Linked DNA regions of Tamandua tetradactyla. The protein of the gene in region 1 interacts with the protein of each later gene in a biochemical or structural test. Links are inferred from orthologs where the notes say so. Each region holds a gene or a part of one and is shown in the gene's direction. Other genes may lie near its edges.

Region 1 (6,849 bases):
TGGGGTTGAACAAACCAGGGAGTATTTCACAGTTTCTAGAAGTCTAGGCTAGATTGTCTCCAGTTTTGCAAAACCCACTTAAGAATTAAAGTGATGCTTCATCACATCCTGAGCTAGTGAACCCGAGGTGACAGCCCACTCCATAGGCAACCACAACCTCAAGCCAAAAATAGCACCATCCCCAGAAGCAACAATAAGTTTCAGTAAACTCAAAAGAAAGCAAGGAAACTAGGGGAGTTGGGACTCTCTTTACAGGGAGAGGAGGGAATGAGATCATGCAGTTCGGCCTTTGGTTGGCAAGTTGTGCTCAGTCCATGTCTTCTTCTGACTTTCCTTCCTCTCTCTTACCTTCACCTCCTAAGTGTCCCTACTTCTCCTTATCTCCCTATTTTGAGCACATGACTTGCTCTTGAATAGTAAACTGGCAAAATCCTGCTGATTTTAAAACTGAAATGTCTCCAAAACCACATGAAATTAATCTTAAGGAGCAAAACAATATAACGGGAAGGACTCTGAGCCAGAAGGTAGAAAGAACACTTGGGTTATTTCCTGGACTTCCACCACCCTCAGGCTCTATGAATTTTTTCAAGTTACTTCACCTCTTTGAACCAACTTCTCCATCTAAAAAACTAAGCAGTTGGACTAGATGGCTCCCTCTGACTTAATAATTCTGAATTTTCCTTTTGGTAGAATGTTAAGCTCTGGTGGAGAGAGCAGAAACTGGAAGCAGAAGCACGCTTGGTGCCCATCAAATTAAAACCACACGGGTAGTTTCCCAGCCCCCTGATCTGTAAGGCTGCCTCTGGCTGAGCTGCCTTCTTATAAGGTGGCAAATATTTGAAAAGAAAAGTTTCCACAGTGAAACGCAATCCAGCCCATACTTATTGATGGCTCAGAAGGCACTGAGATGAGTAAAACATAAAACTGAGTAGAGAAAAGAGGGATAACGGAGAGTGAGAAAGACTGCTGGCAAAGACAGAGCTTTCCACACTGGGTCCCTGTCACCACCCTTCAATCGAGAGTAACTTCCTGCACCCATTGCCCAGAGGAACAATATCTCCCATGTTAAAGGTGCTAAGTTTTTTTCCCCCTTTTCCCATTCCTGCTTCTCCCACAGCTTCCCAGGGGAACTGAGTTTTTGGGGAATATTTGTAGCACATGGGACCAGGAGGAACGTGGGTTGGTTCTAACAGCCAACCTAACATCCCCTCTCCTGTGGTCCATCCTTTCCACCAGGACAACGGGAGTACTACGAACTGGGCAAGGGCTTTGTGTTGGTGGACAGTCCCTGTACCGCTGTCAGCTTTCTCCGACAAGAAAGCGCTCCCTACCGTTATATAGTTCATCTTTTTATTTGTAAAGCATATAGAAGGTAAAAAGAAAGAAAAGAAAAGAAAAATCATTTTCCTTGTCTTGTTGGAAAAAGTCAAGTTCCAAGAAAACTCTGGAGATACTGCTACACTCCCTCACTCATCATAGCCTTCAGCCTGAAGGAGCAATCTGCTAAGCCTAATGGAGACATCTTTTAAGGAAAAGTGCTTCCCACTTTTGTGGACCTAAAAGCCCTCATCAACTCTGTACAAAATTAATAAGTAGTCCAGAGGAGCCTGTGGGTCATCAATAGGTCATCTCTCCAGAAGAACTGCTTTTAAATATCAGGTATCATGAAGAATTTTTGGTTGGCAAGTTGTGCTCCAAGAAGGAAAAAAAAATCACCCTTCCAAGAGATAACTTGATGTTGGGGAAGAGGAGAGGGAAGGGAAGGAAAGCGTATGGCTGCTGACCCCGTTTGGATGAATCATTAGGTATGACTTTTAGGACAGGAATCTGATTTGACTAGTCATCAAAGAAAAACTTATTTCTACCTCTCAACATCTGAAAATGTAACCAGCTGGCAAATTTAGTTATTACTTAAGCCACAAACAAACATGTGCCTTAGGAACAGTTTTTCTCTACGTGTTTGGTCTATATATTGAGTAACTGGAAAATGCTTATTACTTAATCCACACACATACACACATGCTCCTTGTCACAGAATACTCCCACCTAAGAAAAGTGAAATTGCTGTTTGATGATTGTAAAGTCGTGGGTGTTTCCAGTAGTTACAAGTTCTACCAAGCTTAAGTGCCAAGAAACGGAGGTGGACCCCAGAGTTAACCCGGCCTGTGGCTGAGGCCCTTATTTGGTGAAACTGCTACCTGCACCCTGTGTCTTGAGGCCAGCCTGATAGAGCAGGACCATAGCAGGGGAAGCGAAGCGGCAGCTGCTGACGTCCCAACCCGAAGAGATGAATGGAATTCCAGGCAGCTGGAGTCATGCTGGCTTGGGACAGTGGCTTGGAGACCAGACTTCCAATGACAGAAACTTTAGGCAGGAGCTCTTATGGCAATGTGTGCTCCCACAGAAATGTAACCCGCACCTCGGTTGCTGGAGCCGAAAAATGAAAAGAATGTTTAGTGAGGAAAAGGAAAAATAAAATGATAGGCAGAGGGTAATTTATTACTCTGTAGGTCTGTTCTGTGAATAGTTTAGGACTCTGGAGTCAGATGGTCCTGCAAATTCTCCAACCAGGAGTCACGTTAAGAAGCACGAGTGGGCACACAAAGTGTTTTTCAAGACACAATTTCAATTTTGGCTTGAGGGAACTGGATAGGAATAAGTTTCCCTAAAATTCCTGACTAGAAAGAAACTGTTCTGGTAGTCCCCTTGATCCGAATACGCACACCGCCCCCAAGCGGCAAGCCGTGGTAGCGCCGCAGCAATTCCGAGAAGCGAGTTTCAAAAGGGACTTCTGCCACAACTGCGGGAAAGCGTGCTGCACCGGGCTCCGTACACAGTCCCTGCTTGCCCCAGCGCGACACCGAAGTCACCTCCCTTAGTGGGTCAGGCGAAGGGCAGGCGGGGGTCGCCGGGGATGGGGAGGGATAGCAAGGGCAGCAGCGTGGCGCAAAGTCCTTCTCCCATCAGTCCCCGACCCGGGCGGGTGGTCCCCCCACCCAACCTGGATGGATGCTGACAAGTACGCAAGAGGCAATTCTTTAAGGACTCTCATGGTCCCATTTACCATCAGGTTTTGTTTTTTTTTTTTTTTTTTTTTAACAAACGGGTTCCTTCTCAAGTATCCACCCTTCAGCTATTGCCCAGGCATTCAAGGAGCCCGGTTTGCCTGAAAATCCTAAGGGGCTTGGGTGGGTCGCCGAAGCCCCGTCGCTGCCCGGGATGCTCACACTTAACGCATCGGGCCCGCGTGGCTCAAGAGCCCAAGTCTGAGCCCCTGCGCGCCAAGGCTGCGTGGGCGGGCACCTATTTTTCGGAGAAGCCATAGTGCGCCTCTGCCCGCCTCCCCCGACCCTGGCCTCCAGCTCTTCACTTTCTGCCCAGGCAGCGGGGAGGTGGGAGCGGGGGGGTGAGGACGGAGGCGGGGAGAGAAACCCAGACTGGTCCCCCACCCCCCGCTTCCTGCTCGGCCGCCGCCGATTGGCCAGAGCAATCCCCTGGAATGTGAACGACACTTTAAAAGTGCGCGGCTCCTCCGCCTCGCCAGCCACTGCTCCCGAACCTGGCAGTGCTTTCGGGGCTCCTGCGAGCTGTCCCGGCGTAGCCTCCAACTCCTGCCTCGGACCTGTTGGGCACACCACCCGCGCCAGCGCCTCTCCAGGCCTCTCCGCGGGTCGCTGCTCCCGGCGCCGCCACTCTGCCGCTGCACCGGCGTCCACACAGGTAAGCGCACCCCGCGGCCGCGGAGGACCGATGCTCCTCCGACCTTGGCCATGACCCTCGAGCTTGAGGCTTCCGACAGCCCCTCCGGAGCCTCTCAGATCTCACTCATACTCCTTGGTTTTCCCCTTTCTGGTCCTCCGGGCCGCTGGGGTACTCCGGGGGAGGGCTCCGGAGCCATCCTCTCCTGCCTTTGGGGTTCACGACTGAATTCCACTCAGGACCCTCAACATTTTCTTCTATTCTCCAAGCCAACTGTAAACTCTTACATCGATTTTCATGTAAAAAAGTCTACTTTTTCCTTGTTGCTCCCCCAAACAAATCTCCTTGTTCAGCTGTCTACCCTGGACTTCCCAAGGAAAAGCCCCCAGATTGTTGGTCATTGTTCCCTATACTTAAAAATCACAATCTCCTGTCCCATCCGTCTCGTTTTCTTCGTGATGCCCTCTGAAAAGTAAATTCTGTAGTCCGTCATCCCAGCAAATGCGAGACCAAAGAGGGGAACCCCAGGGCCTTGGCCCTAAGCCCAGTTGCCAGTTTTCGCCCACCTTCTTGGCTTGGCTGGTCCCTGACCTTGGACTCTGTGCTTTCTGCTGCAGGCTCCTCTGCTGGGCACAAACCAGCTCCACCATGAGGCTGGCCTGGGGACTCGGTGTCCTGCTCCTGTTGCATGTGTGTGGCACCAACCGTATTCCAGGTGCGTCTGTGGAATACGTTTAGAGGGAGGAGGGCAGAGGAGGAGGTGCTGTTTACCCCAGGTGTGCCTGCTGTAATGCCAGGCCAAGTTTGAGCACTTAGGGTTGTCCTCCTGTGTGCTAGCTGCCAGCTGTTTTAACCCTGAACCCTATTAAACAACCGAATACAGCCCTCTTCTCTTATGGGTTAATTCAGCTCTCTCTGGTTGCCAGGAGTTTTTACTCTGGCCCCACCCTCCAAAGCTGACGCCCCCACCCGCAACCCTGATCCCAGCCAAGAAAGCTCACTGTGTATCCTGCTCCTGTCTCACAGAGTCTGGGGGAGACAACGGTGTGTTTGACATCTTTGAACTCACTGGGGCTGCCCGCAAGGGCTCTGGGCGTCGACTGGTGAAGGGCCCTGACCCTTCCAGCCCAGCTTTCCGCATTGAGGATGCCAACCTGATCCCCCCTGTGCCTGATGACAAGTTCCAAGATCTAGTGGATGCTGTGCGTGCAGAGAAAGGTTTCCTGCTCCTGGCCTCTCTGAGGCAGATGAAGAAGACCCGGGGCACACTGCTGGCCTTGGAGCGGAAAGACCACTCTGGCCAGATCTTCAGCGTGGTCTCTAATGGCAAGGCGGGCACCCTGGACCTGAGCCTGACCGTGCAGGGGAAGCAGCAGGTGGTGTCAGTGGAAGACGTACTCCTGGCAACTGGCCAGTGGAAGAGCATCACCCTGTTTGTGCAGGAGGATAGGGCCCAGCTATACATCGACTGTGAGAAGATGGAGAATGCTGAGCTGGACGTCCCCATCCAAAGCATCTTTACCAGGGACCTGGCCAGCATTGCAAGACTCCGTATCGCAAAGGGAGGTGCCAACGACGATTTCCAGGTGAGATCTCTTCTCTGAGCTGCTAGTTCATGGCATTGTCTGCTAGCCAATTGACCTGTCAGGCGGGCTGTGGCAGACAAGGGGAAAGGCTTCCAGGACGGGAAATATTGTCTATAGAGTAAATAGTGGTTCTCAAACTGTAGGGGGCATCAGAATCATCTGGAGGAGTTTCAGACTCATTTGGTCTGGGGTGGGAGTTGAGAATTTGCATTTCTAACAAGTTCCTGGTGATGTTGATCCTGGTAGTTTGAGAACCACACTTTGAAAACCTTAATTAAAGAAGAAATGTTTTTTTCTTTAACAGCAGCCTATTCAAACCTTATATACTCCTTATGTTCATCTCAGGAAAATAACTATTTCAAATGCATTCCACCAATTTTAATATTGCTTGAAACTTTTTGTATGGGCAGAATAAAGACCACTTTGCTGTTTGATTTCTCCTGGGGATGCAGCCAGTGCCAAATAAAAAGTTAAAACAGAAGGTGTGGCTATCTGCTGCAGCTTCTTCCTTGCCCTAACTTCTAGATCTTTGCAACTATGGCTTTGAAACTCCCACATTTAACCCTTTGACACTGGAGAGTGTCATATCCTCCAGGCTTAGTATCAGATTCCATTTCCTGTTTTCCCAAGTAGGCTGATAACTGGATTCTTTGTAAAATACTGAAGACTTGGCAGAAGACACAATCAAAATTTTGAAGTTGTTTGGCAATTTATATTGGTGGCTTGTTTTGACATAATGATAGTAAATGGAGCTCTTTTAAACTTTTAGAACATCTGTTGTGTGCTTTTGCTAGCATAGACAGCTCCCCTACTCCGACAACATCCTACAAGTAGTGTGTATCCTCTACCCACAGGGGGTGCTGCAGAATGTGAGGTTTGTGTTTGGGACCACACCAGAAGACATCCTTAGGAACAAAGGCTGCTCCAGCTGTGAGTACCCTTCTATTTTTAGGGCATATGGGGAAAGCAAGGGAGGAGTTCCACCCAGAACAAGCTGAGAAACCTAAGCAATGGTGGCTGTATATCAATTATTGGTGGCTGTATATCAATTATCCCTGGGTAATATAGTTAAAAGGCTGTACACGTGACCTAAAAAGGTATTACACGTACACATTCATCCCCTCCACCTGAACCCTTCACTCAAAATGGTATGTCTTTTATAACTAAGAACTCTAGGGATTGGCTGTGAGAGCATCTGTTAGATCTTCCTTTTTTTTTTTTTTTCATTTCTTTTGTTTCTCTGCAGCTACTAATGTCCTCCTCACCCTCGACAACAATGTGGTGAATGGTTCCAGCCCTGCTATCCGCACTAACTACATTGGCCACAAAACAAAAGATCTGCAAGCCATCTGCGGCATCTCCTGTGCTGAGCTGTCCAACATGGTCCTGGAGCTCAGGGGCCTGCGCACCATCGTGACCACACTTCAGGACAGCATCCGCAAAGTGGTCAGTGGCCTCTGCAGTCGGCCTGTAGCATGAGCCTTAGAAGGTTTAGCACATGATCCCGGATGACTAATGATCTTTCTCCCTCTCTTAGACTGAAGAGAACAAAGAGTTGGCCATT
Region 2 (7,915 bases), on another chromosome or scaffold:
ATATTCACTTATGTAACCACATTAAATACAATTATCAAGTTTAAGAAATTTAACATTGATATAAAACACACAGTCTATATTCCAATTTTTTCAATTGTACCAAATAATGTCCTTTTGGGGATTTTCTCCTCCGTTATAAGATCCAATTCAGGACCATGTATTGCATTTAATTGTCAATGTCTCATTGGTCTCTCTCTGTTTTTTAGATTGTAATTTGCATTTTCTTGATGACTAAAGATGTTGAATACTTTTCTTGTGCTTATTCACCATTCGTATATGTTCTTTTGTAATGTATGTGTTCAAATCTTTTCTCCATTTTTTTTAGAAATTGGTAATTTGTCAGATCAATGGTTTACTTATCTATTTGGCTTACTTTTCCATTTTGTTAGTGGTGTCTTTTGATGAGCAAAAGTTTTCAATTTTCATGTTTATCTTTTTTTTCTTTCAAGGTTTTTTATTTTCTATGACTTAAACTTCTGCCTACCTCCAAGTCTTGAAGATGTTCTTCTGAATTTTAATCTAAAAGCCTTAAGATTTTCACTTTTATGATTTAGGTCTATGATCCATCTTGAATGAACTTCTGTGTATGGTATAAGGTAGGGATCAAGAGTCATTTATTTTCCCATAGAGATTTTCAGTTTTTTCAACATCGTTTGTTGAAAGACATCCCTTTCTCCACTGGATTACTTTGACGCCTTTGTCAAAATCAAATGACCTTTAAGTGCAAGTCTATTTCTGGTTCTCTAGTCTGTTCCATCTGTTTGTCAATTCTTAAGCTCTTACCACACTCTTTTGATTACTGTAGCTAACAAGTCTTGAAGTAAAGTGGTATAAATCCTTCAGTATTGGGAGTTTTAAAAGCTCCCCAGGTGATACTAATGTGCAGCTAAAATTTGAGAGCTTTGAGAACATTCTAATGTGTTCTCAAAGGCCCAGCTCTCTCTGTCACCATCCTTTAGACCTACATGAAAAACCAATTATTATACTTGATCCTACCTCCTTAATGCCTCTAGAATTCTTTTCTTCCTCTCCAATTCTATCACTAGTGCATTAGTTAAAAACATCATTTCTCACCTGGCTCCCTATCCCTTCTAAGAAAGAAAAAAATGCTAAGTCTTTAGTGTGACACACAAAAGCCTTTGTGACATACCCAGTACCCTCCCAAAAAGTACCTCAAACTTCATCCATACCACATTTTTCAGTTTCCCAAATGTTTTAAACTTACTCCTTTAGCCTCTCCTCCTTCCTACCTAAAATACCCTTTCCTACTTTCCTCACTTGTCATCTCCTTCGTCTCTTTCAACATTTATCCTGTCTTCACATGTCCTGCTCTGGCCTGATCCCTTCATCTATAATAAGTGTCCCTTCGGGGTTCTCAGGGCCCTCTGTGCATGTCTTTATCATAGGTTTCAGGTCCTGTGCTGTGACTGTCAATTACCTGTTGAGCAACCCCACTCATCTGTGAGCTTCTTGAAGCCTGAGAGGGTGTGTTTCAATCTCTTGTCCCTAGTGCCTTGTAATGTGCCTGGCAGGTGACATACCCAATGAATGTTTATTAAATGAGTGAAACATGGGCACAAATCTGCACTATGATTGGGGGCCGATTCTTTCATCTCTCTGAGGGTCTATTTCCTTATCTACCAACTGGAAATAACCCCTACGTCACAAGGTGGTTAAAAGGCTTAAGGAAGTGAATCCATATAAAATTCACTGCATGTGCCTGGCACTTGTAAAGTACTCAATAATTGTTGGCGCTCTTCCCTCTTTCCAGTTTCCACCAGACCCTTCAAAGATACCCCTTCCTGTGCACACTTCTAGTACTGACCACTAGGTGGTATCAGTTTGTGGTCTGAAATTCAGTCCCAGAGCTGCCCCATTATTGCCCTATCCCAGACCCTGTTGTACCCAGGCAGAAAAGGGAGGGGGAGGGAGGGTTTTTAACAATTTGCTGATGGGGGGGGGGATTGGGGGGAGAGTGGTCCAAACTTTTTTGCCCACTCTCAGCTTTCTAGGTCTCCCAGTAATGGATTGTAGAGAATTCCTCCTTGATTTCCCATGACTTTCACCAAATTCCATCTCCCAAATTTCAGGACAGAAAAACCTTCCTAAGAACAGCAGTGGGAAGAAAGAGGAGAAACTGAGGCAGAGAGGGACTGAATGATGAATACTATAAGAGAAAAGATAGGGAAGTGAGATTGCTCACAGTCATATCCCATCTGACATCAATTATTTATGACTGTCTCTTCCTCCAGGTCAGGTACCCCTAGTCCTAACATTCCTGCCAGCCTCCCTACAAACTAATCAAGAACTGCTAAGCCCAGGTAGATACAAAGAAGTAAAAGACATGGTCCCTGCCCTCAAGGAGTTTATAGTCTGGTGGTGGACCCTGGACCCATATGATCGAGCGCTAAACTCTGGGGCCGGAGGTTACCATGAGTGCAAGTTTAGAACAGATAGATAGGCAGAGATAGAGTAATAGGAAAGTTTTTCTGAAGAGGGCAGAAAGAAGCTGGGGAACAGTTTAACAAAGGCTCAGGTAGAAAGAGCATTTTCTTCTCCTAGAGACACCCTCAGCAGTCCACATACGGGAAACTACCCAGGTGCCCAACCATCCCAACAGATTATGGAGTGTCCAAGCAAGGAGATCCCAAGTGGCCAATATAAAGAATGAGCTTGACATGTAAGTATAATACAGAAAGGAATCAAGATGAGTTCATTGAACAAAGCAAGGTATAGGACAGTATAATATTGTAGGAGCTCATTTGTGTTATTTAAAGATATTCATTAATATTTGTCTAACGTTAAAAAAAAAGAAGACCAAAGAAACTATTAGCAGCGGTTACTCTGGGGACGTGGCTGAGGAATGGGAGTGTGGAAGAGTGGCAAGTTTGCTTTTCACCTGTACCTTTCTATCCTCTTTGAGTTTTTAAAACCACTAGGCATGCACTTCTTTTTTTTTTACAATATAAAGTTCTTAAAAAATAAATACACATTCACATTTAGGAAACAGCAGGAGCGAGGAGGTAGCCAGAGGTCAGTGTTGATATGCTGGCTGAGGCCAGATTTTGAAAGGCCGTGACTGTCTGGGAGAAGCTTTCACACTTGACTCAGTTGCCTATAAATACCCAGGAGAGGGTCACCAGCAAGGGAGAGACAGGGAGAAGGCCGAGTTTTAAGACGATTCACAGGTATAAGACAGATGGAAGGGAAAGGAATGAGGCTGCCCCCTCGGGCCACACAGTCACTCAGATACCTTTTTCCTTTCAAAGCTGCAAGAAGTCCGATTCCACCTGATTTCACTTGGATTGGAATGTTCCGAGGGGGCCCTGGGAGAGGGAGGAATCTAGTAGCGTTCATTAAAAAGCATTTAGTGAGTCCCTGCCAGGAGTTAGGCCATGAGGTCCGCATACAAGGATGAATAAGACCCCAGCCCCTCTGGAGAAACTTTCTCATGCAGTGGAAATGGAGGAAATCTGAGATATATTTCCAAGGAAAAAATGACAAGCCTTGAACACAGGCTTGCAAAGCAGCAAAGAGGGCTCGAAAGAATCCCTGGTTTTGGTAAAGGTCAAGTTCTTTCTGGAGTCCTCTCGTGCTCCCACTGCCACTAACAATTTTTTCATGCTGTCCCTGTAAGGGAAAGACTGGAGTGAGGACTTGGGACCTTTTTTGACTAGATTTTTAGGAAGGGAGAAGGGTGCAGCAACTGTTACTCATCTCTAAGGTTGATTTCCTGCTGCCAGTGTCTCCAGCCCCAGGTCTCTGAACTCTTGACTTCCACACATCCAGAAAGTCAGATACCAAGGATACTGCCTGAAGACACCACCCAGAAGGGGGCAGTAGCCAGAAGCACCTTCTCGGACTCGGGGAACCCCCAGCGCCTTCAGGACTCAAAGTAGCATTCCCGTACAGGCTCCGGGCTGGGGACAAAGGTCTCTCAGCAGACACCCCCTTAGAACCCCACGCTGGAAGCAGAGAGGTGCAGAGTCTCTCCTCTGACTCCAAATCCCTGGTGCTCAGGAATCTAAAACCCTGACTTGGTGGGAAGCCAGCCAGAAGATTAGAACAAAACAAAACAAAACCAAAAAAACAAAACAAAATGAGCCTCAACCTCTTGGGGGCGAAGGGGGGTGGCCCTTCCTCAACGCCACCCGCTAGTGACTCACCTCCCTCCAAACCAGAGCCTGCCCCTCCCGCGCCCGGTGCCAGGCGAGCAGGGCGGGGCGGGTGCTAAGGTGGGCTCCATCCCCGAGCCCTCGGCAGGCGGACAAGCTCTGGCGTGTCCCCGCGGGTGTCCCTGTTTACTCCGAACCCCGGAGCGACCAGGGGGCGGGCCCTCGCGGCCCCTCCTCCACCCGCCCCCCTCCGCCGCAGGCCCCAATCCCGGTCCCGGTATTACAAAGTCTCCAAATCAAAGCCCGGCCTCTCCCCACACCTTCCCGGCGGACTGGCGGCCCCGCCCCCACCCTAGGCGGGGGAGGCCTCGTCAGCAGACCTCGGAGTCTTGGACACCCCCAGCCCTGGGAAGTTGGGGGGGGGAATGAAATCCTAGGGTACGACTCTGAGTTTCTAAGAGGAGCGGCTCTCCTCGCCCACTGCCCATCTCCCCACTTCGCCCGTTCAGCTCTCTGGAGCGCAGAGCAAGGGGCCACTCAGGGGAGAGGGCGCTGCGGGTCCCAAATGGACTGGCGGATGCCCGGGACCCCCACACTCCGACCGCTTCAGAGCTCAAGTCTCGGTGCTCCTCCGACTCCCCCTCCCCAGGGCAGCGCGCCAAACCGGCGCATGCGCACTGCCAGGACTGCCGCGTAGCTCTTTCTACAACCCCCCCCCCTACACTTTTTCTTTCCCCGCCCCTTCCCTCCCTCCTTCGCTCCTCTCCCGGTCCCCTCCCTCTCCCCCCTCGGCCCCCCCGCAGCATCTCAGTCCAAGGAACAGCGGTGTGAGCTCCGGGCCCGTGCACTGAGGAGGCGGAAACGAGGGGAGCCCCCAGAGCTCCATCAGGCCCCTTTCAAGGGCTCCCCCACCCGGTCCACGCCCCCTACCTTCCCCCCTCCCCGCCTCCTCCCAATTGTGCATTTTTGCAGCCGGAGGCGGCTCCGAGATGGGGCTGTGAGCTTCGCCCCGGGAGGGGGAGAGAAGAGCGAGGAGAACAGCAGGGGGTGAGGGGTTTGGATTTGGGGGCAGAGGGCGCACCCCCGTCAGCAGGCCCTCCGCAAGGGACTCCCAACTCTGCCTCTTCACCTACACCCCTGGTGCGCTTTGCCAAAGGAAAGGATCAGAATAGCGGAGAAGAAGAGGGGAAGGAGGAAAAGGGGGGATCCCCCCAAATGGGGGGGCGAAGACAAGAAGTAGCAGGACCCGGGGGGAGGGAGCTGCTGCTTGCATCAGCCCACATCATGCTGACCCCGGCGTTGCTGCTGCTGCTGCCCCTGCTCTCAGCTCTGGTCGCGGCGGCTATCGACGGTGAGTGAGATTCCGCGGCCCCCTTGGACCCCCGGGGACACCCCCTCCCCAGCCCCCACTCCTGCGTAGAGCCGGGGAACAGAGACGTGGGAGGGGGTGTCTTTTGTTATCCCAGTCCAGCTGACACAGCAGCGGCCCCACTGGGGGCGGGGATGGGGGTATGATTTGGGGGGATGGGGGCCTGGGCAAATGATGCTTCAGGGACCCCCCAGCCCAGACAAAGACCAGAGGCCTGGGTAGGGAGATGAGGGCTCCCCCTTTCTGATCCTGAGATCCAAAGGCCTTCTATTCCTATCTCTGTCCGGGAGGGCCTCTGCCTCCCCTTCATCCTGCATCCCCCTCCCCAATCTGAATTGTGAAGGAATCTTGGTTTGCAATGTGCGGCTGCAAAAGGGGGCGGGGGTGGGGGGGGTGGGGTTCTGCCTTGGCCTCTGAAGCTGAAGAGGGTAGCAGGGCCAGGGATGCCCTGCTGGGCGGAGGGCAGGCAGGCCCAAGAAGGCTGTGGGTGGGGAGAGGGAGGGCCATGGGGAAGGCCCCCTGCTTGGGTGTGGAATCTGGGCCCGGGAGCCCAGGCCTGGAGGCCTGGATCCAGGATCCAGCAGGGCGCCTGCCTGCGTTCTGGAGTCGGCACTTCCTGGCCTCAGGACTTCTGTCAGTAGCCTGGGAAGAGCTGTACTGGGGGGCTAAAGGGGTGCAGGGGATGCTTTGTGACTTTGAATTTTCCTTCTTAATTCCTGGGAGGTTTGAGATGAAAAAACGTCATATGTCATCATTGGGGAAGGGTACTGAAGAATGGCCTGGAATGCTGGAGTGGGGGTGGGGGGACTGCTTTCTCCCTGGCTTCTGGCTTGATCACAGTTGGGTCTAGAAGGAGAGTTGGAGGGTGGGTTAGGTTTATAGCCATACCCCCATACCCCAATTCCCTGATCCTTTGGTAAATGTGTTTATTTATCCCACCTTACCTCAACCAGATATATACATACTTTGTATACTGCAGAGTTAGGTTTCTGCTAGAACGAACAGTGTCCCTTTGGGGAAACGGGATGCACCCTCTGGCCTTTTTCTGTCAGCTGTTTTTTTTTCCCTTTTACTTGTGACTCACTTGTTCAAGTCTTGCCCAAGATTTGTGCTGGGGTTATGGGTTTGGGCCCGGGGACTGGGCCGGATACCATCATGCAACAAGCAATTGTCCTCCTTTCCCTTACCTCCCCCTCCTCCTCCATCTTCTGAATTTTGCCAGGTTGTGATTGGGAAAGTTTTTCCCTGAAACCAGATTATCTCTCCCTCTCCTGCCCTCCCTGGAGCTTGCTTCACTTGGGGGAGGGGTTTATGGGGTCAGGAAGCAACGATGCCCAGAATACTGAGGATATGTGTAGTGGCCCTCAGTTATCCCATCCAGGGCTCTGTTTCTTTGCACCCCCTCCCACTCCCTCAATTATCAGTCCAAGAGAAAGAAAGGCACTCTGCCCTGAATATCCTCTAGACCAGCCTTCACAGCCAGCCTTTGCCCATGACTCCCTCAGTCATGCAAGTTCTTGCCTCTGTTTCTCAGCTCTGTAGGTTGGGAGGGGAAACTGAGGCAGAGAGATTTTAGTGCTGCAGTTCTGGGAATGGATAGGGAAAAAATATATATATATATATATATTTTTTAGTATGGAAAGAGAAAGAGAAAGACCCATCAGGAACCCCATGAAAGAGGGTGGACAGAGTTAGGCAAAAGCAAGGGGTCTCTGTGGAAAGCAGAAAAGGCCCCCAGCCTGACCAGGAATGGGCTCCAGGTAGCTTCACTCCCAGAGTTCTAAAGGGCTGTAATCACCACCTCAAGCTGGCTCCTCCTTCAAGAAGGAGGAAGATGGGATAAGTTTTCCTTAACTATCTCCCTATCCTTCCTTAAAATCCCCTGCTGCAGCCCCAGCTCACACCTCTTCCCAAAGTCCTAGAAAGAGGACCCCTCCCCCAAAGCACACCGTGACTCTCATCCTGGGAATGGGACTGGTGCGATGAGGTCCACCCCATGGACAGGGCTGGGGAGTGGACCGGTGACTGCCCAGAACTGTGCCACCATCTGTCTTTATCCTGGGGCAACCAAAGGGTCCTCTCATCCTTACCCCACCCTCATGCTTCAGGTGCACACCCTGAGCTTTCTCCTTTGCTTCCAGAGAAGGACGCCCCCTGGCTTGGTCCTAACCTCCCTTCCTCCTGCTCTCACAGGCCCTGCTGCTTTCCCTGCACAGGGGCCTCCCCCTCTCCTCTGTGCCTAAATCCACCCTACAGTCCTCTCTGGGGAGTCGTGTTAGTTCCCACTAGTACTCAGTGCTGGTGCTGCTGGGGAGGATGGAGAGCCAGATGGGATGGCGAATGGGAAGAGGGGTTTTCGAGGGTCTGGTTGAAATCAGGGAACGCTGTGTAATGGGAAGGACAGCCCCAGGCAGACGTGGGTTGCGGGGAA
Region 3 (7,538 bases), on another chromosome or scaffold:
CCACTGTGAAGGGGTCTGGGGACACACTGAAGGACCCAGCAGGTCCCCCTGTCTTGGGGAACTGACCCTGCAGAAGGCAAGATGGGTGGGGCACTCAGGCGGGGTGAGTACACCCAGTGAGGACGAGGGGCTCCCGACAGCACCCCCCCACCGGTCAGTTTGCATACCCAGGTCACGTCCAGGCCCTTCCCGCTCCTGCCCATCCCACCTCCCTCCCCGGTTCCTCCTTCCCCAGGGGTCCCCCTTTGGATGATGTGTGTGTGTGTCCGCGTGTGCGCGCGTGTGTGTGTGTGCGTGCGTGTGTGTGCGCGTGCGTGCATGTGTGTGTGTGCGTGCGCGCGCGCGCGTGTATGTGCGCGTGTGTGCGTGTATGTGTGTGTGTGTGCGCGCGCGTGCGTGTGCGCATGCATGTGTGCGTGTGTGTGCGCATGTGTGTGTGCGTGCATGTGTGTGTGTGTGTGTGTGCGCGCGCGCGTGTGTGTCCTGGAGAATGGGGCAGGGGTCTGGCCAGGACTGGAAATCAAGGCTTATCTCCAAGGGTCTGGACTCAGGGCTCACACTACGGGAGAATGAGGTAGAGCCTGAACCTGGGTGAAGATATTTGAGGGCTCAGGTCACTTGTGAAGAAGAGAAAAGGGAGAAGAGGGAAAAACAGGACAAACCAGAAATCCAGAAATAGAGGCTCCAGAGATGGGGAGGATGGAGCAGGAAGAGAGATCACACAGCAGAGAGAGAGGAGGGAGGCAGGGGAGGGAAAGAAAGAAAGGAGTAGGGAGTGGGGAAAGCCTAGGGAAAGAAAGAAAAAGAGGAGAAGGAGGCAGGGAGGCTGAGGCATCTTCTCTCTGCTGCCCTCACAGCCTCCTCCGAGGGGTAGTCTGCTGTCTGACTCCATCCCACCCCTCCTCACGCCTCAGTCCACTCCCAGCTGGTTTCCTCGCCCATCACTCTAACAGCTCACACCTAGGTCTCTAGTCCCCGTCATGCTGCTCAATTCGGTGAAGATTTTATTCTTTGTTGTACTAGTTCTCTCTGCAGCATAGAATTCTCTCTCCTTCTAGAACCCTCTCTTTCCTCGGCATTCATGACACCCACACCCCTCTCTTCCTTGCCCTCCTACTTCTCTGGCCACTCTCCCAGTGTCGCATGCTGGGCTCCTCCTCCTCCACCCAACCCTGCAGGCTCCGTCCTAGCCCCTCACCTCTGCTTTCTCCACGCACTGTCCCTCCAGCCCCACGGCTTCAGTCTCCCTGGACTCACGGACCCCGACACCCAAGGGTTTTCTCCCCATTTCCTATTCAGTATCTCACAGGCACCCAACACCCAACAAGGGCAAAACTGAATTCATCTCCCCCTGAACCTGGAAAGGAGGAATGGAGGGACGGAGGAAACTCTCAGAAGGTCCAAGGCCTTGGGTCTGAGGCTGAGGCATAGAAAGCTCCAAGCCCGAATGCTGGAAGCTAAGCTGCTTAGCTAAGGGACCTCAGGGCATAGGCCGTGAAAGAAGAGAGGGCCCACGCACGTGGGGTCTACCCCAGGCCCCTCCACAGGACACCAGGCAGGGCTCCAGGGTGGACGCCCTGGGGAGCTTCACCCCATGGTCTCCACCGCAGCCTCCCTCTTCCACTCCCTCCCTTGCTCTCCTCTCGCTCAGAGGGCTCATCTCCCTTGTCCAGCACCAAGGAGTCAGACCTGCCCCCCCCGCAGGGACTCCACAGGAGCAGGGATGCTGGGGGACACAGCCCTGCCCCTCCTTCTCAGGGGGAGGGGTACACAGGGAAATCTGGAGAGGGAGAGAACTCAGAGCTCAGCACTTTCCTCTTTCTGTTTTTCTTTTTGAGGAATTTTTTTCCTAATGCTGATGACTTTACCATTTCTTCAGGGGGGAGAGGAGATTTTGGCTTTTGCTCACCCCCCGCCCCCAAGTGCCAGACAAAGTCTTACATTCCACCCGAAGCCAGAGCTTCAGAGTTTCCTAAAGATGAGGTGGCGTCTCCTCCCCGATTGGGCCCACGCTCCCCGCCTCCCCACCCCCCACCCCGCCCCCAGTCTCCAGTCCTCAGTCCAGGCCAAGGAGGCCCAGCCAGGCTGGGAGGAGACCCCAAGCACATTCTTCCTCTCACTGTCATGCTGCAAAAATTAAAGACACATCTTCGGGCTGGGTGTCTGCCAAGTGTTTTAAGTCAAAAAGTGGCAAAGGAGAGCCTGGGCTTCAGCTCTTTGCCACGTGTAAAGGATGCTTGGGAACGTCTGCTGCAGCCTCTGGGAGTGAGGCCGGGAACTGGACACTGGCGTGGAAACTGTCACACACCACACTCACAGCCCACTCACTCCTGAGCCCCTGGGTCTCCAAACGCCCCCCAGACCGCCAGACCCATGATGTGGCAGCCCTAAGCCCCACCTCTGAGGCTTGTCTCTTCTTTAAGGTGGGCATGGGCGAGCCCCAGGCGGGGCGCACGGGGAGACAGCTGCAGGCAGGAGCCCTTCTGGCTCCACAGCTTCAGCATTGCGGGGGGGGGGGGGGGGGGGGGTGCGCGGGCCACACCCCTCCTCACGGAGCCCCCCCCCCCCCGACACCCTGCCTGGGTGACCGCCCCAAATGTCAGCTCCCTCTGCTCCCTGGGTGAGGGGCGCGCCCCTTGGGACTGATCCTTAGTGGGGGGCAGGACTACGGGTTGGTCCAACAACGGCCATCTCAGCGCCTCAGGTATCTGGACCTATGCTGCTGTCGCTGGCACTGGGTGGCTGGGGGGAGCAGTTGCTGGGCCACAAGCTGCTGCCACATGGTCAGGATAATTGCTGAAGGTCTGTCCCCCCATTGCTGTCTCCAGCCCTGCCTCTCTGGAAACTATATTTTCCCTTTAATTATAGCCCCTGCAGTCTCCCTCCATTGCCCCACCCGTACCGCTCATCCTGGCTGCCCATGGCCGACGTGGCTCCCTCCCCTTCTGTTCTTTTGGTTTTTTCCCCCCTTTGCCTTCGTTGCACAAAACCAGCTGGGGGAGGGTGTGGAAAGGGGCGGGGTGGGGGGGGGAAGCAATGGAATCTTGGATGGTTTGGGGGAGGCGTGACTCCCCGCTTCCACGTTTGCAGCTCTGAAGCTAGTGGGGGTAGGGGAGTCATGCAGGAGGGAGAGGAGCTGACGGGGCATTGCAGAGGGGCCCCGTTGCCCTCACTTAGGTCCACAGATTGGGCAGGATGATGGGGCCTGGTTAGACTGGAGTTGGTCTAGAACCCTGCTGGGAGGTTAGAATATCTGGGGAAGGCAGACACTTACTTCTGGAGGTATCTCTCCCAAATATAGCCTAGGAAACCACTTCTCATTTCCAAAGTAGCCCCCGACTCCCTTTCAGGGTCCAGATGACTCTTTCCTGGCTCCAGAGGCAGAGAACAATGGTCTGGATTTTAAGGCAGGAGGTGGGGTGATGGGAAACATCTCCATGAGGTCACTCAACCTCTCCTGCATTCCACTTCAAACCTCCCCCAGACACCCCAGGTCTCCCATACACCTGGAACCCTGAGTCCAGGTTCAACCGGAGAAGGGGCTATGCAGCTTCCAGAAGGGGCACCTTCCTTGGTCAAGCATTCTTCACCCAAGTTCTTTCTGGTTTGACTATGCTGGGTGGGAGGGTCTCTAACCAGTCCCTGGCCACAAGCCCCTCACACAATGATTATGGTGTCGCCCCACCCCCCCCAAGCTCACTCCCCAACTCTGGGTGAAGCAGCCCTAGCACACACACCCCAACCCCAGGGCCCCATCACCAAAGCTTCCTTCTGGAGACACCATGTAGTCACATTTCTCACCCAGTGCCTTGGTCTTGCCACTCCATCTCTCACAATCGCGCCCAGGATTTGGGGGAGGACACTGGAGCCCGCCCGTCTTCTAGCCTCAGGCACGGCAGAAGTGACATCCTCAAATGAAAATCCCCTTGGCATCCCCCCCAACCTGATTCTCAGTGTCTAGAATCTCTAACTTGTTCCTCAAATGTTCCCAAGCTCCATACCCCAACCGTACCAGAAGACACCCCAACGAGGGACATCTTTTTAATTCCTTGATTCTCCTCCTTTGGAGAGGTCCCCTGGCTTTTCCCCAGATGTCTCCTTATCTGTGTCGGAAGGTGGATGAGCTGGACCAGGAGGACCTCTCCCAGTCATCCCCAGCCCTCTTACTTTTGGGGGGTTGGCCACCCAGCTCCCCAATTGCCCTTCGGGCCGATTGGGAGTTCCAGAGAGAACAGCAAAGGGGCTCCCCCACCCACTCCTTAGCCCACACTACACTGAGGACCCGGCCGCACCCCAGCGGCGATATCTCTGGCCCAGGCTGGGCTGGGGGGCTGGGGAAGCAGTGCTGCGAAGGGGGGAGATGCGGGGTGGACTCCCTTCCCTTTCCTTCCCTCTTCCTCCCCCTCTCTATTCCAACTCCCGAATCGGGGGCCGGGCCAGGCAGCTGTGATTGGCTGGGGGGCGGGCGGAGGGCTCCCCCTCCCCGACGGTCAGGGTTCCTCCCAGCGTCGGGTCTGGATGGTATAAAAGGGGCCCGGGCTGGCCATCGGAGCAGACGGGAGTTTCTCCTCGGGGTCGGAGCAGGAGGCACGCGGAGTGTGAGGCCACGCATGAGTGGGCGCTAACCCCCTACCCCAGCCGCAAAGAGTCTACATGTCTAGGGTCTAGACATGTTCAGCTTTGTGGACCTCCGGCTCCTGCTCCTCTTAGCGGCCACTGCCCTCCTGACGCACGGCCAAGAGGAGGGCGAAAACCAAGACGAAGACAGTAAGTCCCAAACTTTCGGGAGTACACGGCTGCTTAGTATCGCGCCCTGCGCTCGGCCCCGAGGGTCCGCCACTTAACTTGAGACTCGAGATGTTCTGGATACTTGGGAATGGAAGGGAGATAGTGAGGCACCCTTCCCCGGCGCCCCGGGCGAGAAGGGAGTTCCCCTCGGGGGTGGGAGGTGGGGAGGAACTCCCCTCAGGAGTGGGAGATAAGGATGAAGCGCGGCGCAAACAGGCGCAGGGGGGGAAGTCCCGAGGGCGCACCGCCGAGTGCAATAGGAAAAGTGGGGGGTCTGGCTGCAGGGGGAGTGCGGGACGCGTTGAAAATAGGGTGGGGGCGCCGAACCGGGGGGTTGGAGCCCAAGACGTAAAAGCGATCAGGATGGCTGTGGGATGATTCATAAGGAAAGTTTGTTTGCCCTCTCTGCAGGCTAGACACGCGGGAGGAGGGGGCGCGGAGAGTGGGCGGGCTGGAGGCTGAGAAACTTTGGCGAGGTCTTGGCAAGGTGGGGTCCTTGCGTCCTCTGCTGACCAGTGCTCAGCACTGCGCCTCTCTGTTCAGCGTTTCCGGGCGCAGGTTCCGGGTCGGAAACACAGGGGTTATTGCCAGGCGTGGACTCCATCTCTAGACCCGGAGCAAGAGGCCGGGGACCACATAGCCCTCTGACTCAAAAGAATCCCAGGAAATTGGCCCCGCCACGTCCCCATTGCTTAGAGTTGCCCGCCACCTAGTGGCGGTCTGGGTAGTTGCTTGCGCGGTGGGCGTGGTTAACCAACTGATTCGTTTGCTTGCGGACTTTTCGTTTTTTTGGCTAAGAAGTGACCCAGAGGGTCTGTCTGCCTTTAGGAGACGGAGGTTGGCCTCGAGAGCTCTGAGATGTCTTGGCTCTGGAGATTATGATATATACTAACTCTAGGGTACAATTTCAAGTCTCTGGGTGGGACCCCACTCCTATAAGCCCCTCCCCATTCCTCTAGCTCCGCCCACGCCACCCCACCTGCCCAGGGAACAGGGCGAAATGGGGACTGGAGCTCCCTCCTCTCCTCCCACCCAACCCCCTTACTGTCTCCCCCAAACCACTCCCCGCAAGCCTGCCCTTTGGATAGGACGGTTCCTGTTCTCTCCTCCCCCCACCCACCCCCAACGGCTTTTTATTTCACTTGGCTTCTGCACCAATGGGCTGAGGTTAGAGTTGAGGGCAACCCTCGCCTAAAGTTTTGTTTAAATTCCTGAGAACTGGAAAGAGTTATAGCTATGCTGGCCAGGAGCCTCGGCGTTGTCACTGGCTCTGATGGGGAGCAGATGAGCTTTTAAGGATTTGGAGAAAGGTGGGGGTGGGTGGGGAGGCGGGAGAGTCGAGCATAAGGAGGGAAGTGGAAAATCTAAATGTGTCTCTAGGGTAGAGGGAAAGAGGGTTGGGGCCCCGAGGTGGAAGTCTCGGGCACCCCTGACAGCCCCCCTCTTGCTTCAGTCCCATCAGTCACCTGCATACAAAATAGCATCACGTACAATAACCGAGACGTATGGAAACCTGAGCCCTGCCAGATCTGTGTCTGCGACAACGGCAAAGTGCTGTGTGATGAAGTGAAATGCAGCGAAAGCCAGGACTGTCCCGGCGCCCATATCCCCTTGGGCGAGTGCTGTCCCGTCTGCCCCGATCGCAATGGTAGAGCTCCGGCCCCGGGGCTGGGGGAGGGCGGGGCCGCTCCCTGGCGCTGCGCCTTGCAGGCGTCTGCCTCTAACCCGCCTTGGAGGCGTCTGCCTCTAACCCGCCTCTCATTCTCCCCCTAGAGTCACCTACCGACCAAGAAACCACAGGAATCGAGGTAATCCTTTGCCCTCGAATTTTGCCACCCCACCCGCCGTGATTCCTCACTGCCCGCCCTTCTCTAACTCGACCTCTTTTGTTTCTTCTCCCCCAACCTCATAGGGACCTAAAGGAGACACCGGCCCACGAGGCCCGAAGGTAAGCCTTGCGCAAGCTTGCTCGCTCTCTCTAGCTCTCCATTGGATGGCTGCAGGTGGGCGTGGCCTCTGGCCGACATTCACCCCGCCCCCAAACTCTTCTCCCTTAGGGACCCGCAGGCCCTCCAGGCCGAGATGGTATCCCTGGACAGCCTGGACTTCCCGGACCTCCCGGACCTCCTGGGCCCCCCGGACCCCCTGGCCTTGGCGGAGTAAGTGGAGAGTGGAGGCATCTGGAAGGCTTCTGTCTGCTCCTTTCCCTCTACACTTTTTTTTTTACAGACGAAATAATTTCAAACTTACAGAAAAGTTGCGAAAATAGTGCAAAGACCTCTCATTTTGCACATTTGCTTTATCAGTCTGTATGTATATGCATTATCATTATTTTTTCTGAACCCTTTGAAAATTGGCGGTATCATGCCTCTTTCTTCCAAAATACTTCAGTGTGCATCTCTTAAAAACAAGAGCATTCTCTTACATGACCATAGCACATGACTACATTTAACATAGATACAATACTATTATCTAAAATAGTCTATATTCAAATATCGTCAATGTCCCAGCAATGTCTTTTATAACAATTTTTGTACAATCCAGGATCATGAATTTCATTGAATTGTCATGTCTCTTTAGTTTATTTTAATCTGGGGCATACATCAGCCTTTCTTTGCCTTTCTCAACACTGGTTCTTTCTGAAGAGTATAGGCCAAATGTTTTGTAGATCGTCTCTCAATTTGGGTTTCTCTGAAGTGTCCTCATGATTAGATTCAGGCGATGCACTTTTTTTGCAGGACTATCTCATA
Region 4 (7,495 bases), on another chromosome or scaffold:
CTCCCTTCCTGGACGTTCACAAGGCTGTATTGGAGTGTGGTGCCCATGAGCTGGGATGCAGCTAGGAGAGGAGGGACACGAAGTCATTAGATGGGGTCTAGTCGAGAGGAGATTGTCCAGGCTGGAGCCTTGTTTTCCTGGCGTGCAGGGATGGTGGGTCCCCCCCTCTGAGTGCCCAGGAGGTCAGAGCAGACCTGGACTCCTTCCAGTTCTGGGATTCCAGACCCGTGTGCAGGAGCTGCTGCGTGAAGGGCATCAATCAGCACCTTAATAGGTGTGTCTGTCCAGGAGCCAGGAGGTTGGGGTGGCAGCGCAGAGACCTCTCCCACCCTGCTCATACGTGCCCCAAGCTCACCATCTATCAGTCAAAGGCTGAGTTTCTGCACCATGATTTCGAAATCCTGTAGCTTTAGCCTCTTCCTGCATAGGTTTCTATACTTTGGGAGTTCTCTTTCATATGCCCAAAGTATGTGCATTATCCTATCTGTGTGTACATATATTTTCTATGTTTTATTTTGAAATGATTATAAATGCATAAGAAGTTTTAAAATAGTACGGAGAGGCCCCAAATAGCCATGACCCATACTATACCAAAGGTGCCTTCGTACACAGCTATCGTACCTTATAAAACCAGGGAACTGCCGTCAGCAGGATGTAATGAATCCCCCAGCTTGCATCAGCTTTTACATGTACTCATTTTTTGTTTCTCAAAAGATTTTAGTGTTTCCCATGTGTTTTATTCTCCCAAATTCTGGGATACTCTTGAACGAAATGATTTTTACCTAAATTATCTTAGAGAATAATGAATTTTAGAGATGGAAAGGATGATTTGGTTTATCTCTCACATAAGCTCCTGTACCAGCCAGTGGATCTGGAACTCAGAGGAGTCCTGGTGCCTGATTCAACACAGGCTGGTGGATAATCCAGAAATTCCTATTTTCTCTTCTCTACTCATATTTTTCATAAGCATAATATACATCTGAGGAAGAGCTGCCTAATGGGTGCTACACTTTTTAAAAATGAGCAAACATCTCAATTTCTTCAAACACTCAATTAAGGAAATATTACTTTACTGAACATTGAATTAATCTTTCAGGCCTTAGGAAGTGTTCCTTGTGGATTACATTTTAACTACTGAGCTAACTGGGCAATCCTGTTATCTCTTTCCCGGAGGTAAGGGCTGATAAGCATCTTGTTACATGGTCTCAGAGACTGATGAACAAAGGCTAACAAACATGAGAGAAAGATCAAAAGAATGAAATGAAAGATAACTTTAGATCAATTAGAACATGTTTCCAAGGCAATATGTCCTTATAAATGACACAGTAAAAGCAATCTAAAAATTAGCATCAAGAGCATTTACCTTGCTAAGAACCCTTGCAAAAACAAAGGCATCTTTTGCTTGAGTCCCTAATACATTAATTATTTTTTGCTGTTCTCATTTTGAAATGACATGACTTGCTGAAGATACTCAGAGATTTTCCTGCTAAAACTATCAGCCATTTGAGAATGGCAAGTCGCCATTGACAGGAGGTCTGTGGGGTCAACAGGAAGCAGAAAACTTGTTTGGGAGGGAACTGTCAGGTGCAAATGTTCATGGCCAGCCTTTGAGGTCCAGGCTATGTGAAAGCCCATTCCCTGGGAGGTTGTGACCTGGGCATAGCTTCCACTTCAGACAAGGTGTGTGCAAGAAAGACTGAAGGTAAGACTGACCTTCCCTTGTGTTCATGAGTACAAGTACTTGCTTAGTACTTGCAAGGAGTTTACCATTTTAATACTGGAAGTATTGGGCAAATTCTTAAGAAAAACTGAGAGGACCCTGGTGGCATGTTCCAATGCTTGATAGAGCTATGGAAATTAGATTTGTCTTCCATTTTATTTTAAGATCCTGGGAGTAGCCAGAAGCTGGAATTCAACAGAACTTGGAGGATATGGGAGAAGACACTACCATGTACCTTGCTATGTGGCAGAAAATCCATGGACCAAGGATCAACTCAGGAATGATGTTACGGCGAATCCAACATCTACATAATTTTCCTTTTCCGGTTGTTTTCTGATTTGGGTGGATTGTGTAATTAGGTCGTCCTCACTGTGGCCTCTGCCCAGGCAGTCTTTAGTGCCTCCATGACATACCAGCCTCATGAGGACTCAGGGGAACATTGATCCAAACTTCGCTATTGGGCTGTTTGCTTCTGAGGCATGAGAAGAAAACAGTAGAATCCAGCACCAGAACACCACAGTTTTCTGGAAGAAAGCAATGCCTTGATGGCATCTCAACTTTGGACTTCTCTTAGCCTCAAACCTGTGAGTCAATAAATTCCCGAGGTTTCAGCCAACCCATTGCATGATATTTGTTTTAGCAACCGGGAAGCTAAAACATTGCCACAACCCTGTACACACTTTTGGTGATCAATAGATACATAATGAATTGAAGTAAATCAGAACACACATTTCAGAATTTATTCAACCTGCTAATAGTGTACAGAACTGAGCTCTCTTTCTATATCTCTGTTCTCAGTGCCTGCCATTCTTTCAAATAGAAAAGAATAATTACTTTGTACTCATTGTCCTTAGAGCCATGGGAAAACAACCATCCAATACCCCTCTAATAAAAGTGCTAGTGTGGAATTCATATGCACACTCATGAACACTTCATTCCTTTACGCCTAGTCTGTTCCTACAAGGCAAAATCACTTTTTTTTTTCCCGAGATGTAGGGCTGTACCATAATGGAAGTCTCTATAGCCTCCAACCCAGCCCATCCCTGAGTAGAGCTTCTACTGTTTTCTTCTCATGCCTCAGAAGCAAACAGCCCAATAGCGAAGTTTGGATCAATGTTCCCCTGAGTCCTCATGAGGCTGGTATGTCATGAAGGTACTGAAGACTGCCTGGGCAGAGGCCACAGCGAGGACGACCTGATTTACACAATCCACCCAAATCAGAAAACAACCGGAAAAGGAAAATTATGTAGATGTTGGATTCGCCGTAACATTATTCCTGAGTTGACTTGTCCATAAGATGGTACTGAAACAATATTTTAGATGGAAATGAAAGCACACTGGAAACATGAAAATAGTTAGTAGAGTCTCACCTTGTCCCAAAGGACTTTATACTTTCTGAAAGATGCCAACATAACCCAGTAGAAGACATTTCACATGTTTTGAAAGAAGTCTGGCCAGCGCTGATGTCCACCTTTGGTCTCCATTAAATACGCTTGGCCTTTAGGTGAGAAGAAGAGGCTAAAGGGAGGAAATAGCTGAGAGAGGAACGAATAGGCAAAATCGTACACGGGGGATGTGATTAGCTCATCGTGGCCCCATTGTGTTTTGAAATCTCTGCCCAGCACTTCACTTGCAGGGGCTCCAGAGGATGTTCACCCGGATGGTTGGGCCCCCAACTCTACACTTTGCTAGTTGATTGATAGGAAAGCATTTCCCAGCCTTGGAAGAACAGTGTACGCTTTCTTGTAAAAGGACAAGAAAGCGTACACTGTTCTTCCAAGGTTGGGAAATGCTTTAAATAAATTAAATTTAAATGCTTTAAATGCTTTAATAAATTAAATTTAAATGCTTTAAATAAATTAAATTTTATTTAAATTTTAAAATAAAAAGGTCAATTGAACTATTCTTGAATAATTTCTCCAGAGGATTAGGAATTTTAAAGCACATTCTACATCACCACTTTAGTGTAAAGCCAGGGAAAACACGGAGTCAAGTATTAAAATTGAGACACACTCTTTAAAATTTAAATGTTAAACTCTTACTTTATTTTGTGAAGATGAGGATATACTACATGGTGAATTAAATTGCTGAAAGGATTGATATGTCAACAAAATAATGTACAATTGCAGGCAACATCTGAGCCCATTGAGGATAAGGAAATTTAAATATAATAAAATATTTTAACTTAGGTTTTAATTTCTTCACTGTTGGGTAGGATGTTGGAATTTTAACAATCACACCTTAGCTTTTAGTGTGTAATCTAAAGCCTGTACAGTTTGTATCTATTATCTTCACTTGTCATTAGCCAGGTAACCTTGGTCAAACCCTCTAAGCCCTAGTTCTCTCATCTTAAAATGGGAATGATGATACAGTGGTTAGCTCGGTACATGTTGTGAAGTTTGAATGAACTTATATCCATGCACCACTCAGCAGTGTGTGGCATGGAGAAAGGTCTCAGAAAATGTGAGCCTTGATCATGAATTTTTTAGCCTAGAAGAAAGGGAATGAAAGGAGGGGGAAGGAAGCAGACTAAGCGGGAAAGATGAAGAACTGGGTTTGGAGGATAAAGGGAGGCCAAGAGGGGGGCGGGCAGCAGGGTGCGGGAATACGCTTTCAGCACTTCCCCGCATCTATTGCCCATCCCGCCATGAAGCATTTTGTAAGATCCTCTGGCCCCGGTAATGTTTGAACGCTTTCGAGTGCAGTGGCATGGGCCTTCAGGAGAATCATTAACTTAATTTGACTATCTTGTTTGTGGGGGCAGCTTCTCTTAGATGAGTCAATATCATTTTGGGATTGGGACACGCTGTTTTCTGGACCTTGCTGGCCAGTCCCAAAATGGAACATAAAGGAGTAGTCCTTCTGTTTCTTTTATTTCTGAAATCAGGTAAGACTTAGACATTTTTTATTTTAATGAGTGTCTTTATTCCTAGCCATGTATTCAAAAATAGATGTGCTCTGGATTTTGCACAGTTTGTTCAATTTAGCTTTCATTTTATGAGATTTCCAGCTCAAAGTCTAATATGAGCTTGAGGAATTCTTGAAGAAATAAGTCTATTTTCCTTGTGAATGTTGTCACGGTGGTGGAAGCGAATGGGCAGAGGAAATAATGAATTATTTTTCAAACCTCAGAGATTGAGTCCAAGTGATTATTATTTTGGCTGAAAAAAAAGTAGCCAATATAGCTAACACCAAAATTCGTTAGTCCATTTGCCTGGCTATTAGTTTGAAATTGATTAATTTAGAATATTTTCATTAAAGTATCATGCTCCATTCACTTCAAAATTTAGAACGATGAAATATGTTTTCCAGTATATGATATTCTTAGACCATCTGTGCAATTGCACACACCACTTCCCTATTTGTTAAGCTCAAGGGAGGCTTTTCTGTACTTATGTATTTGCTTCTTATGCATGGAGAAGCTATATGAATGTATTTGCAAAATGATGTGTGCATAAACAAATTAAACAATTCAAAAATAGTCATTTAGTGTTGGGGGTAAGCAGAAATTTTTTCATAAACCCCCACATACACCCACACCCACACATCCTATGCTAATATTAGCTTATTTAGCTAGTGAGATGGATTATAGATTTTATCATCTACAGATTATATTGAAGAAATCTAGGCTTAGAGAAATCGTGCTATTTGCCCATTGACTAACCTCCTGAATCCAGAAAGTGAAGAAACCAGGATGTAAATCCAGGTTTTCTAAGAAGAAATCTACTGCTCTTCTTACTTTTTCAACTTTATTAAACCTCCTTTAAAATGTTCTAAAACTGTCCTGTTAGTTCTTCTTTCAAACAACGTTATTGAAATTTAATTCACGTACTAAACAATTTTCACATTTAATTGGTAAAATTTAATGGCTTTTAGTACATTCACAGAATTGTGCATCCATCAACACAATCAATTTTAGAATATTTCATTACCTTCCATAGACACTCAACATCCCTTAGCTGTCCCCTTCTCTCCCTCCATCCTCTCATCCCCCAGCCCTAAAAAACCACTAATCTATGTTCTGTTTCTATAGATTCGCCTATTCTGGATATCTCCTATGATGGAATCCTACAGCATGCTAATAGGCATTTATATAAACAGTTTACAAGTATCTAATATTTGATTGATAAATTATCAGGTAGATTTTTACAAGTTGAATTTTAAATTAGAATCAAATACATTCATTTTGGTAGAAGTCATTAAAACAAATATCAAAGAAAATATAGAGCAGGAGAAGATGAAACAGAGATTTTTGCGGGAGATGGTTGTAAGTAGGGTGGGGGGTGAGGGGCTAGGGCAGGTATATTCTATTTCAGTCCATGGAAATTGGCACCTGGAACATTATGAACTTATTCAGTTGGCTACACCCAAATGTTTAAACAAGCTTCTCTGCAACAGGATTAACATATGTTTTAACCGCCACCCCTCCAAATCCCATCGTTCATAAACTCTTCTTGAAACTAAGGCATTTGCTCTCACTTTCCTTGGACATATGTTTCATCTTTCCACTGTTCTGGAATGCTTGGGAGAGAAAAAAAAATATGAGACTTGGAAAAGCATTTTACTTTTCATGGACCACTGAGTCTTTTCTTTCAAACACAGAAGCGTACATATACACACGCACACGCTAACACACACACACTCTCACTTTTGCTCACATTTATTCCAAATTACAACTCTATATGGTTGAAAAAATATACCAGCTTTGATAGCAATATATACCTATATTTGGTCTATTATGCAAAAATGCTTTTCCTATTAAAAGATTTGTTTAATGTTTCTTCGTCAACAAATAAACCATATTATACCTTTTGACACATAAGCCCTGATGCTGAAAAAGGTAAAAAGCAATTGAGGGAAAAGCTTTTTTTTTTTTTTTCGCATGGGCAGGCTCTGGGAATCGAACCCAGGTCTCCGGCATGGCAGGCAAGAATTCTGCCCCTGAGCCACCATTGCACTACCCAGGGGAAATGTTTTTAAACAAAAAAGAAAAACAAAAGGTTCTCTTCTGAGATATTTCTTTAGGACATCATTTCCTAATGTGGATCTCATAATCTATACATTCTCTAATCTGTTATGTATTCACAGGTAGCATAATTAAAGGGTGATGTAAAGGGAAATTTCTTCATTTTAATTACCACTTACAGCCTGGCCTGGTACACCTTCCATAACTCTCCAAAGTGTTTAACTCCTTATGGAGCATTCTTTATTGATTTATTGTGTTTGCATTTCAAATCACATCATAATCTATAGAATGTACCAATGCACAGCTCTTCTTAGAATTGAGAGTAAAATAGGAAGAAAATGACGTGTGAAGACATGTATACAGGTTTACAATGCATATTTTTCTTTACTGTTTTGATACATTTATCAAGGACTTTTTGGTGTATTAAAGTTTGCATTAAAGTTTAAATGGCATCAGCTACCCTCCTGTTTAGTAATCCATTCTTCCAATTCGAGTATCTTAAATTGAGGAAGGATGAAAGCTTAGGTGTAGGGAAAGGGTGAACTTTGGAAGGTGACTTTGTATTAACTTATTAGGGTACATCCCCTCCCTCCTGTTCAGTGTATTTATTTTCAGGCTGCTCAGGGAAGGTCTTTCTGAGAGTGAGAATCTGACTTGAATAAACATTTCTACTGAATAATGCCATGAACATACAGAATGTCTTGTCTTAAAAAGAAATCAGGAACTGCCCCTTTCACAGCTAGCCTTTTGAAAAGACTTGTCTTCCCTGGCAGGCTTCCACAAGCATTGACCACATTGAGGGGAGTGTT

The links.
Region 2: the proteins of THBS1 (region 1) and LRP1 form a complex in vitro, tested with the Homo sapiens proteins (3 studies listed by BioGRID). The link is inferred for Tamandua tetradactyla from reciprocal best matches to the Homo sapiens genes THBS1 and LRP1.
Region 3: the proteins of THBS1 (region 1) and COL1A1 form a complex in vitro, tested with the Homo sapiens proteins (2 studies listed by BioGRID). The link is inferred for Tamandua tetradactyla from reciprocal best matches to the Homo sapiens genes THBS1 and COL1A1.
Region 4: the proteins of THBS1 (region 1) and PLG form a complex in vitro, tested with the Homo sapiens proteins (2 studies listed by BioGRID). The link is inferred for Tamandua tetradactyla from reciprocal best matches to the Homo sapiens genes THBS1 and PLG.

Annotation. Positions count from the first base shown.
Region 1 is NC_135340.1:52,658,768-52,665,616, forward strand, and holds the start of THBS1 (thrombospondin-1), read left to right. Parts: upstream 1-3,834; 5' UTR 3,835-4,200; coding exon 4,201-4,414; intron 4,415-4,725; coding exon 4,726-5,285; intron 5,286-6,139; coding exon 6,140-6,215; intron 6,216-6,531; coding exon 6,532-6,731; intron 6,732-6,822; coding exon 6,823-6,849. UniProt on the Homo sapiens protein: Adhesive glycoprotein that mediates cell-to-cell and cell-to-matrix interactions.
Region 2 is NC_135333.1:124,313,797-124,321,711, forward strand, and holds the start of LRP1 (prolow-density lipoprotein receptor-related protein 1), read left to right. Parts: upstream 1-4,904; 5' UTR 4,905-5,330; coding exon 5,331-5,466; intron 5,467-7,915. UniProt on the Homo sapiens protein: Endocytic receptor involved in endocytosis and in phagocytosis of apoptotic cells. Required for early embryonic development. Involved in cellular lipid homeostasis.
Region 3 is NC_135332.1:31,352,351-31,359,888, reverse strand, and holds the start of COL1A1 (collagen alpha-1(I) chain), read left to right. Parts: upstream 1-4,526; 5' UTR 4,527-4,670; coding exon 4,671-4,767; intron 4,768-6,241; coding exon 6,242-6,436; intron 6,437-6,561; coding exon 6,562-6,596; intron 6,597-6,700; coding exon 6,701-6,736; intron 6,737-6,845; coding exon 6,846-6,947; intron 6,948-7,538. UniProt on the Homo sapiens protein: Type I collagen is a member of group I collagen (fibrillar forming collagen).
Region 4 is NC_135337.1:64,344,951-64,352,445, reverse strand, and holds the start of PLG (plasminogen), read left to right. Parts: upstream 1-4,485; 5' UTR 4,486-4,558; coding exon 4,559-4,607; intron 4,608-7,495. UniProt on the Homo sapiens protein: Plasmin dissolves the fibrin of blood clots and acts as a proteolytic factor in a variety of other processes including embryonic development, tissue remodeling, tumor invasion, and inflammation. In ovulation, weakens the walls of the Graafian follicle.